3 linked regions of the Canis lupus familiaris genome follow. The protein of the gene in region 3 purifies or fractionates together with the protein of the main gene of each other region. This does not show direct contact. Links are inferred from orthologs where the notes say so. Each region holds a gene or a part of one and is shown on either strand. Other genes may lie near its edges.

Region 1 (3,747 bases), on a different chromosome or scaffold from region 3:
TCTCACTGTGGCTTCCAGATCCTCTGTCTTGTTGCGGAGATGGTCCAGGTTTTCTCCTCGGGCCAAGATCCGCTCCACATTCTGGGTCATAATATTCTTGACTCCCTCCACCTCACTCTGCAGGTTCCGCACACGATCATTTCCAACACCTCCACTGGCCTCCTCCTGGGCAGCAACGCAGGGGTTAATTAGGCGAAGTGGTGGAGGAACTGAGACTCAGCCTCAGAGGCCAGGGGAGGGGAAGGCCTAAGGTGGACTTTAGCTTTTTTTTAATGCTTGAACTGTTTACAAAGAATGTTTTCATGTATTACTCATGTGATCAAAAACAAATGCACTTTTAAGCCCCAGAAGGTGAGTGCTGATGCTAGACAGACTAGATCCAGTTTCTTTTCAGGTTCTCAGGGCCCCTGAGGAGGAAAAGAAACACAGACCCTAAATCCCACTCCACTGTTGCCTTGCTCCTCAGATGGGGGCAGAGAACTGCTGAGCTGGCATCTCACAAGGGGGAAACCCACCACTATTAACCGAAGGATCCTCATTGAAAATATCTGTGCTGGCCAGCAGAACACCCTCAGCTGCCACAACACCCCCCTCACTGCTGGACAGCAGCTGGAGAGCTGCTCCCGCCCCAGACTTCCCCAGACCTCCGGAGCTGCCTAATTGCTGTGACCCAGAGCAACAGCCACCGGGTTCCAAGGCCCTGGCCAGGCCCCAAGAGGGAGAGCCATTGCGCCATAAACTTCTGCTTTCCCCCAACACACTGCCCCATGTGCCGGCACCAACCAAGCTGCCACTGCCTCCTTAAGCAGATATTAAATAAAAACAGCAGACTGGCTGTTGAGGGAAATGGAGGGCAAGTCCTCCCTGGCTGATAAAGTTTTTGAACAGGGAGGGCAAACCATTACTAGGCTCCTCCCTCCCTGACCCCCTAGACCTCCGAAACAGGCCAGGAGCCGGTCCAAACTAGACGGATTGTCACAGAGAACCAACTTCTGGTTCTTTTACAAACCCTTCGCCTTCTTCTCCGTGTTTAAAGAGAGGGGCCCGATTCCTTAGGCCGGGCAGAGAGAGACGGATTCTTGGAGTTTCTCGACAGGATAAAGGGAAGGGCCGACGGGGAGGGCTCCCGCCGCTGGGCTGGAATCCGCCCTGGGAACTTCGGAGGCGCTGCCCAAGGGGGGTCACCGGGCTCGGCGCCCGGCGGGCCGGAGGAGGCCAGGAAGGGCCTCTCAGCGGCTCCCGGCCTGGAATTCGGAGCCTCCACCCCCACCGGAGCCCCGCTCCGGGCCAGCTCCGAGGGCAGGGGAGGGAGAAGGCGCGGGGGCAGCCGCCCGGGCAGCCAAGTTGTCAAAGGAGAGCGGCCACCGGCTGCACCGGGCCAGCCCTCCGACTTGGCCAGCGGCCCTGCGACCCCCGCCCCCAGCCCCCCGCCCCCAGCCCCCGCTCGCCTTTCGCTCAGCCCCTCGCGAGCTCCCAGCGCGCTCACCATGTCTCCAAGCGGCTCGGGCCTGGCGGCGGCGAGACTCCCTCGTCTGTTTCCTCCCGGGCGGCCCTCGCTTCACTTCCTGCTCGCTCCAACTTCGAGCCTGCCCCCGCCCGCCGGCATCCCGAGCGGCTCCAGCCTCACCTAGCGCGGGCCGGCAGGTAGGCGGGCGCCCTCCGCTGCCCTCCCAGTCTCCTCCCAAACCTGGGCTCGGGCTTAAAGCAACAGGGCTCGATCACCAGAGATCTTCTAACGCATCAGAACCAGAAAAAAAAAAAAGAAAAAGAAAAAGAAGATCAAGCAGCCCTCCTAGGTTTCCTGAGGCTGGACCTCCTGATATAGATAGGGAAGCTGGCTCCGCCCCCCCCCCTTTTTTTTAATGTCCTGAATATCTGACTCCAAATCTTAAACACTGAAGTCAACTCTAAGTACACCACCAGGGGTAGTTCACATGGAAACAGAACACAGATATGAAAGTTTCTTGCTAGCAACCCCTGTTCCCATGTTCAGGGGTGGACAGAAAGTATTAAAATCCCCCCAAGTCTGGAGTGCTGTAATCCTAGGCTGTGGTGTCAGAAAGCTCCGGATTACTAGTGTGACCCTGAGTGAAATTCTTCACCTCTCTGGTTTTGGCAGGTGCTAATGCTGACCTCAGAGGATGGTGGGGACGTATAACAGGATAGCACACTCAGTGTGCCTGCCACAGTTTCTGAAAGGAAGACCTGTCCACTGTTGGGACGAGGGAATGATGGCTTACCAATCCCTTCTTCCCTTCCAGAGTTCAACATTTCCTTCAGAAGCCGCTTTGAGGGGTTGGTGAGCCTACTCAGAAATGGTCAGAGGCCTGCCCTATGGACAAGAGAAGGGCCCCAGGCAAAGGATTTTTCCACCACCTGGTTCCAGGCCACAGAATATCTAGTCTTCCCAGATGGTATTTATCAAGACAGAACAAAAACAGGGACAGGCAAAAGAGAACAAACATTCCTGTCCCATCCCAGAAGTATTATTAGTTCTTTTTTTTTTTTTTTTTTTTTTAGTATTATTAGTTCTAAGAGAGAAATGTCAGTTTCTCTAACACATATTTTGTTAAAGGAAATGACAATTTCTGGACCTCTGTTTTGAGATACTTTATTCTACTTTATAATGAAATCTTATCTCCAATTAAATAAGATTATTATATTTTGCAAATCTGAAATTTGATGGACAGTACCAGCCTACTTTCACAGAGAATGTGGCTGTCTCACTTCTCATCATCCTTAGAAAATCTATAAAGAAGAAAAAAAAAAAAAAAGAAAATCTATAAAGAGGTCAAGTGGAGATGGGTCAGAATCCTTGATCTGTACTTATGCTGTCCATTACCATAGCCACTGACCATATATGGCTGCTGAGCACTTAAACTGTGGCTAGTCTGAATTGAGAAGTGATGTAAGAGTACACACAGTATTTCTTTTTTTAAAAGATTTATCTATTTATTCATTTGAGAGAGAGAGCACAGGCACACATACATCAGGAGGGGAAGGGCAGAGGCAGAAGGAGAGAGAATCTCAAGTAGACTGCTCTCTGAGTATGGAACCCTGCACTGGGCTCAGTCTCAAAACCCTGAGATCAGTGATCTGAGCTGAAATCAAGAGTGGGATGCTCAACCCACTGAGCCATCCAGGCACCCCAAGTATTTCAAAGACTTTTTTTTTTTTAATTTACTTACTTGAGAGAAAGAGCATGAGGCAGGGGAAAGGGCAGAGGGAAAGGGAGAAGCCGGGAGCACAATCCAGGCTCAATCCCAGGACCCCAGGATCATGCCCTGAGCTGAAGGCAGACACTTAACTGATACTGATAACATGTTGAAATGATGTTGTGGATTTATTGAGTTAAATTTTAAAAATTGTTAATGCTCATTTCACCTGTTTCTTTTAATTTGATGAGTAGAAAATTAAAAATTACAAATGTGGCTCAAATTATATTTCCATTATAAGACACACTGATCTATGCATTAATATTCATGTGACCTTGGACAGACTGATGTGACATCTATAAACCTCAGTTACCTCACCATCTATGCCTGGCACTGAAACAACCCTCAGTAAATGGTGGCTATTATGATTACTATTATTAATGATTCCAGATGCTAAGTGCAGTGGTGGGTAGGGACATAGGATAGGTGCCAAGAAACAAAGTAGGATGTCTGAGGAGAGCATAAAGACATGGAGGAGGATTTCCAGAATAGAAATTAGGGTTACAGGAATGCCTGGGTGGCTCAGCGGTTG
Region 2 (3,747 bases), on a different chromosome or scaffold from region 3:
CCAGTCAGGAAACCCACATCTAGATGTGAGTACTTTCTTTTTTCTTTCTTTTTTTTTTTTTTTTAATTTTTATTTATTTTATGATAGTCACAGAGAGGGAGAGAGAGAGAGGCAGAGACATAGGCAGAGGGAGAAGCAGGCTCCATGCACCGGGAGCCCGACGTGGGATTCGATCCCAGGTCTCCAGGATCGCGCCCTGGGCCAAAGGCAGGCGCCAAACCACTGCGCCACCCAGGGATCCCTAGATGTGAATACTTTCATTCATGGTAAAGTGGGCCTCAAAATACAAGGGCTGAAATATATAAAGAAATATTATAAGGACCTCATCTTTCAGGAATAAGGATTACAAAACATTACTTCAATATATTTATCAGCAACCAGAAGTAGGAAGCAGTAGAACACAGTGGAACATATTTTGCCAGAGACCAAGTCTCCGCATCTTATCCCATCCTAACATCCTGAGATTTTGAGAACTTGGCTCTGAGATTTATTGAAAATCTACTGAACCAATGAACCTTCACTTTTTGTTTTGTTTTTAGGATTTATTTATTTATTTTTAAAGAATTTACTTATTCATGAGAGACAGAGAGAGAGAGAGAGAGAGGCAGAGACACAGGCGGAGGGAGAAGCAGGCTCCATGCAGGGAGCCCGATGTGGGACTCGATCCGGGGACTCCAAGATCACGCTCTGGGCTGAAGGGAGGCACCAAACCACTGAGCCACCCAGGGATTTATTTATTTGAGAGAGAGACAGTGAGCATGAGCAAGGGGCGGGGGGGGGGGGGGGACAGAAATCCTCAAGCAGACTCCTGCTGAGCTAGCAGCCCAAGCAGGGCTCCATCCCAGGACCCTACCTTCAGGGTTTTTCTATGCATTAGTAACCATGTGCTTAAAGCCCTCGGCACAGAGTAGGATGTCAACAACAAGCTGCTGTAATTATCACAACATGGCGCTTCAAAAAACTATAGCCTAACGACTAGTATTAAGGATACCAATAGCCGCTTCTACAGAACTTAAAAATATTTTCTATCTAGCACACACATTTCAAATAGGCATTTAAATACATGTTTTAAACTATAATCATGCTTCTCTGCAACTAGAACTGTCCTCCCTAGTAGAAAACATCCAAAAACCAAACCAAAACAATACAAAGCATTCTGAAAGTGTAATAAGGCAAATACGGACGAACTTCGAACTAAGCTCCTAGACCAACTAACTGGCTGCTGGGGACAGTACTGTTACTTGTGGTTTCCAAGAGGCTTCGGAGAGTAGCTCCCATTGTAATAGAGCAGAGAGACAATGGAAAGAAACAGATGAGCCTTCTCTGACCCTCGGTCGTCATCATGGTCCAGGAGGGAATTTTATAACAGCCCACTCTATCGGAACATATTTTCATTAATTCAATAAACGTACTTGTCAAATCACAAGACAGGTTTTTTTTTTTTTGGGGGGGGGGTGCTAAAGAGGTATATAGCAAATGCAATCACCGCAATTCACACTGGTTCTCTCAACTTTCGCTTTTTAATAAAACCCATCTCCACGGCAGAGGGTAATTATTTCCTCAGTCTCCAAACCGCGACTCGAAGTCTCCAAACCCAATCCTCGAAGTCCCAGCCCTCAGTCCTGCCAAAGGGACCGAGGAGGAGACACTCCGTCCATAGAACTTCCCTCGATGGACCGGACTGACAAGTTCCTTCTTCCCCTTATCCTACTCCGCTGTCCAACAGTGACCTCAACTCTTAAAACGCTGACTCTTCCAGCCTCCTGGGGTCGGGATATTCTCGCTCAAAACTCGTCTCCTCTCAGAGTTCGTCCCCCAAGCCCCTTCGTCCAAGTTCGCCTGGCCCCTCAACTCCGCTCTCCCCCAGGGACTCAGGACCTTCCTTCCCCGCCCAGCTCCTTCCGCCCACCTCTGTCCCAAGTCTCGCTGCCTCTCGGCTCAGCCCCCCTGCCCCAGACCGTTCGGGCTCTTCAGCCCCCAGGCCAGGGGCTCCCACTAGAGAAGCCTCACCCGTCAGCTCGGCCGCTCCGGAGGCCGGGCTCTTTCCTCTGCCGCCTCCCCCAAGACCCGTCCTTACCCAGCCCTTCTACCTCTTGGTGAGACCCACACGGAAGCCTCGCCCTCACCTTCCCAGTAATTGCTGGTTCCTGCAGCCATCTTTGTTGTCCAACGTCAGTCGGGATAGGAGAGTAGAGACGAGGCGAGCCAGAGAATCACTTCCGCACCTTCTTCCGCCCCGGCGCCAGGGCCGACGGGATACGTCAGTTTCCACGGACACCGCCCCCCGGCGGCCAACTAATCGTTTCACAGCTCTTCAGCAATGGGGCTGGAAACCAGTTTTAATCCCAGACACTACCTGAGTGTCTGTCCTGGTGCTGCTCCTGCCCTCTCCGGCGCCCCAAACCCGCATCATCGCCCTCAGGTCAGCTTACCCCCTCTCTCAGCAGGAGCCAGCGTGGCGGAGAAGAAAGTCATCGCCAGTGTTCAGCCAACCGCTTTCCCTTCTCGGCGCCGCAGGCTCTTTTCTTCCCAAGACGAGCCCTTTCTTCCGGCCTCCTCCGCGGGTGCTCCAGCATCCCTCGGGCTCTGGCAGGTGTGCGGCCTACCCGGCCGACTGCGTCCGTGTACCTCGTCCGGCCCCCTCAACCTGTCGGAATCAGCCGTCCAAAGCCGCCCCGAAAGACACACAAATCATCGCAGTTGGCTTGTGTCCGCATTTTACCAGTTCTAGTGAAATGTAGAAAAGTTACGTCCCACAGAGGTGTTTAAATCACACCTGTCCCTTCACCCACTCCCACTTACGACTCTTTAAGATTTCCTCTACATTCATTGAGAACCACACCACATAACGTTACAATTTTTGCTTCAACTGCCAAACATGATTTATAGAACTCAAAAGCAGAAGGAAAGTGGACTGCATTTATCCATACTTTACTCTTAACATTTTTCTTTCTTGCCTCCCGATGTTCCAGGATTCCTTCTTGTATCATTGCCCTTCTGTTTCAACAACTTCCTTTAGCCGTTTCTAAAGAGTAGGTCAGCTGGAGACAAATTCGACTCGTTTTCCTTCATCTGATAATGTCTTGATTTCCCCTTAATTCCTGAAAGATACCGTTGCCAGATGTAGAATCTGAGGTTCACAATTTTTTTTTTTCCTTTAGCACTTGAAAAACGTGCCCAATTCCTCCTGGCCTCCACGGTTCTGATGAGAAATTGGCTGTTTTTTGAATTGTTTTTCTACTATAGCTAAGTACTGCTTTCCAGATTTTTTCTTTACTTTCCGGAAAGTTGATTAAGATGTGTCTTAATGTGGATTTCTTTGGTTTTATCCGGTTTGGGATTTGCTCAGCTTCTTGACTCTTAGGTTTATGTCATTTGCCAAATTTGGGGAATTTTCAGCCATTGTTTCTTCTAAAACTTTTTCTGTCCCTTACTCTTTTTCCTCTCCCTCTGGGATTCTGATGACATGAATGCTAGATCTTTTGTTAGAGTCGTACATATCCCTGAGGCTCTACTAATTTTTTTTTTCAGTCTGTTTTCTGTTGTTCAAATTGGGTAATTTCTATTTTTTAAAAAAATATTTTTAAAATTTACTTATTCGTGAGAGACAGAGAGAGAAGCAGAGGCAGATTTTATTTATTTATTCATGACAGACACAGAGTGAGAGAGAGAGGCAGAGACACAGGCAGAGGGAGAAGCCAGCTCTATGCAGGGAGCCCAATGCAGGACTCGATCCCGGGTCTCCAG
Region 3 (3,647 bases):
TCTACCTAGCACCAAAGACCAAGTTATTTTTGTTTCACACATTGCCTTCCCATTAAAACAAAGTCCTCTCTCTCTCTCTCTCTCTCTCTCTCTCTCTCTCTCTCTCTCACACACACACACACACACACACCAGAAAATACCAACCTGTTCTGAAGCAGATAAGGGAAGAGGCAAAGACCCTAATTCCTTCAGTAATTCATTTGTTTCCTTGGCGAGCTGATTTGTAGAGTGCTGTAACTGTTGCCTAAGAGAGAAAAGACATGTTTCAGGATATCCCCACTGCTAGAGAGCTGTTACAGTTAGTACCAGCTTGTTCTCAGAGTGCCTCACAGTGCAAGGAATAAAAGGGGTACCTCAAGGAATGGGTTCCCAGAGGCACAGGTTCACAAAAAGAAATTCTAGAAATACTACTCCGTCAAACCCACTTCATGTTACTCAGCAGAAAGAACCTGCCTCAGTGGAAATCTGCTGATTAGGTATTTTAACCTTGGGGAGAAAAGAAATGCCTATTGGCCATTCTGTTAGAAATATAAGAACAACTGCCCCCACATCTAAATCTAATAGTTTGAACACACTGAGGTCTCACAAAACTCATGTAGAATTGCCTGGCAGTGCTGCATAGCTGCTGTCTGTCACAGGCCACTGACTAGAGACAGAATCCAGACACTGGGAGTTGGATGAAATGTGCATTAAAAGCACAGCTTCTACCCTAGAGAACAGCCTCCAAAGATCTACTCCCACATTCTTGCTTAAAGCTGGAGCTTTTTCAGCTTTATTCTTGGCTCCCTATCGTCCTTCATGCTTGACTTTCTGGCTCTTCCCTCCAAAACAAAGAAGCCCTGTACTGTGTAAAAACACGTAAGGAGTATAAGGGGAAGAAAATGAAAGAGGGAAGAATATGCATTATATTCAGTGGGACTGGAAAGTAGTGGAAACACAAAAGAGCCCCTTTTAGTCATGGTTTCCTCCACTCTGTGGCCATTTCTACAAAGGTTTTAAAAAGAGGACAGAGAAACTACTACTTAATCATTATTATTTTTCCACTGCAAAGAGGCCTCCCAGATTAAAAAAAAAGGGGGGGAGGGGGTAGTCAAAAACAAGAGGGAATCAATCAGGGACCTGTACCTCCCAGAAATTACTAACACATCCAAAGGTTTTTCACATATCCCTGGAAAAAACCCCAAGTAGTAAGTCATTCTCTCACTTCACACTGTCTAGGACAGGAAACAATACCATTCAAGATACTTTAAAGATGAAGAATAGAACTTCTAAAAGCAGAAATGGGGTCAAGAAGGATCTAATAAAAAGAATTATGAGTCCCTACTACCAGTCCACTCTCCTCTCCCTCCGACACCCCTCATGTCATTCTGAATACGTTTCGCTAATATTTACAGTTGGAAATCCCACTAGACTAGATGTTGTCTGCAGATCATCTAGAGTCCTGTGCCAACAAGGAGGCTCATTTAGGCAGAATACAGTTTCATAGTGGTAGGAGTTCCCTTCTCTACTTCCTCAAAGTGTTCTGCTAAATTGCCCATGGGAAGAAAGAATCTGAGCTCAAGGATTTTGAAAGGCAGCAGAGATCACAACCCATGAATATATTTTGTTGCCCCTCTTCTAGATCCAGCTATTACTTCATGGCCTACTGCATGGCCTACTGCCTGTCATTCTGACTACACAGGCTGGAAACCCAAGCTGCCACACAGCAAAGATAGTAGGTGTGTCCTCAAAGGGCCCTCATAGAACGCAACCATGTTAGGAAGCTACTCACAGATTTTCCTGTAGTTTGCTTGAGTCCTGCTTAGTTCCTAGTTGGCTCATCAAATTCTTTATCTGAGCAGCTGGGAAGAGGGGGGGAAAGATTTATTTAAAAGAAAAATACATTTATCATGAGCATCCTAATTCTCAGATCACTAGTCTCTCTGCACATCCTGTATAAGTTCATGCAACTAAGAGAAAGCATGTTATGACCAAAAATTTGATATATATATTCTCTTCTAAAACTAATTACAAGGTTCACCTCTCTGCTATAGATAATTATGCCACCAAGTAGAGGATGGCAGTTTTGTTCATCATTCCCAAAGAACTTCCAAAATTTTCCAGATTTCCCATGGTGCTGGCTTAAAATTTCAACACCTTTGGAAGGGCCTTACTACCAAATATTAACTCATTACAATTAAAATTTAAATTCATAATATACAATAATTTTTCTATAGCAAACGCTTTTGTAAAGACAATGTACATTTGTTATTAATAATAAATTACGATTAAAAATAATAATAAATTACCATTAACTGAGCACCTGCCATGTGCCAGGAGACTTTTCTTTTTAAGATTTTATTTATTTCAGAGAGAGAGTGGGAGAGAGAGCTCACAAACATGACCAGGAGGAGGGGGAGAGTGAGAAGCAGACTCTGCTGAGCAGAGAGCCCAATATGGGGCTTGATTCCAGGACCCCAGGATCAAGACCTGAGCCAAAAGCAGATGCTTAACTGACTGAATCACCCAGGTGCCCCTGTCAGGAACTTCTATATTAGGAGCTTTAATACATTATTTTATTAATTTTCACAGCAACAGTCTGAAGTAAGTATATCTTCATTTTGCAGATGAAGAAATACATTTAAATAAGTTCTATAAGTTAAATTTACAGAAGTTAATTATGTAAGGGTACACAATAAGTAACAGGGCAAAAAATTCAATCCCAGATACACTGAACTCCATGTTCTTTTAACTATGTTGTCTACAAATACATGGTTTCATTCAGATAACATTCTCTGTCTTTTCCTAGATACTTTGCTAAGACTGGAAATGGTCATGTTTCAATTCTAGATGTTTAGGCCTCCAGCCCTGGACTAGGAAAGCAGAGGTCCAGAGGAACTGATCATCTATCAATAAGGGGAAACACTCTTAACACCAGCCTGCCTGGGAATATAAAAAGTCCTGTACCTCACTAATCTGTGCACCACAAATAGAGCATTGATTTCTTTTTTTTTTTTTTCTTAGTCTAAATATTTTTGGGCTTTCTGAGCTTTTTTAAAAGTGTAATTAACTTTTTGATTTCTTTTGTGTCCTGCTTTCTGTTCTTTTTCTGGTTGGCAGAACGATGAAGGAGCTAGATTCATTCATTCATTCATTCATTCATTTATAGAGGTTGGAATTTTGTTGTATTTTTTTGTTGATCTTTGCTTTTTTTTAAAAAATGTATTTACTTGAGAGAGAGAGAGAGAGAGAGAGAGAGAACATGTGCATATGGGGGTGGGGGGCAGAGGGAGAGAGAATTCCAAGCAGACTCTGGGAGGAATGTGAAGAGCCCGGAGTCTGACATGGGGTTTGATGCAGAGCTTGATCTCATGAGTCTGAGATCACGACCTGAGCTGAAACCAAGTCAGATGTGCATCTGACTGTGCCACTCAGGTACCCCTGCTTGCTTGCTTTTTTTTTTTTTTAATATTTTTTTAAAGATTTTATTTATTTATTCATAGAGACACAGCTAGAGAGAGAGAGAGGCAGAGACACAGGCAGAGGGAGAAGCAGGCACCATGCAGGGAGCCTGATGTGGGACTCCATCCCTGGTCTCCAGAATCACGCCCTGGGCTGCAGGCGGCGCCAAACCGCTGCGCCACCGGGGGCTGCCCTTGCTTGCTTTT

The links.
Region 1: the proteins of STX12 (region 3) and VAMP8 purify together in Homo sapiens (affinity purification with mass spectrometry; 3 studies listed by BioGRID and IntAct, counting the BioPlex papers as one, with this or other methods). This does not show direct contact. The link is inferred for Canis lupus familiaris from reciprocal best matches to the Homo sapiens genes STX12 and VAMP8.
Region 2: the proteins of STX12 (region 3) and GOSR1 purify together in Homo sapiens (affinity purification with mass spectrometry; 3 studies listed by BioGRID and IntAct, counting the BioPlex papers as one, with this or other methods). This does not show direct contact. The link is inferred for Canis lupus familiaris from reciprocal best matches to the Homo sapiens genes STX12 and GOSR1.

Annotation. Positions count from the first base shown.
Region 1 is NC_049238.1:39,847,176-39,850,922, forward strand, and holds the start of VAMP8 (vesicle-associated membrane protein 8), read right to left. Parts: upstream 2,372-3,747; 5' UTR 2,241-2,371; intron 1,733-2,240; 5' UTR 1,490-1,732; coding exon 1,487-1,489; intron 166-1,486; coding exon 7-165; intron 1-6. UniProt on the Homo sapiens protein: SNAREs, soluble N-ethylmaleimide-sensitive factor-attachment protein receptors, are essential proteins for fusion of cellular membranes.
Region 2 is NC_049230.1:44,447,547-44,451,293, reverse strand, and holds the start of GOSR1 (Golgi SNAP receptor complex member 1), read right to left. Parts: upstream 2,285-3,747; 5' UTR 2,158-2,284; coding exon 2,127-2,157; intron 1-2,126. UniProt on the Homo sapiens protein: Involved in transport from the ER to the Golgi apparatus as well as in intra-Golgi transport. It belongs to a super-family of proteins called t-SNAREs or soluble NSF (N-ethylmaleimide-sensitive factor) attachment protein receptor.
Region 3 is NC_049223.1:71,961,022-71,964,668, forward strand, and holds part of STX12 (syntaxin-12), read right to left. Parts: intron 1,842-3,647; coding exon 1,772-1,841; intron 245-1,771; coding exon 145-244; intron 1-144. UniProt on the Homo sapiens protein: SNARE promoting fusion of transport vesicles with target membranes. Together with SNARE STX6, promotes movement of vesicles from endosomes to the cell membrane, and may therefore function in the endocytic recycling pathway.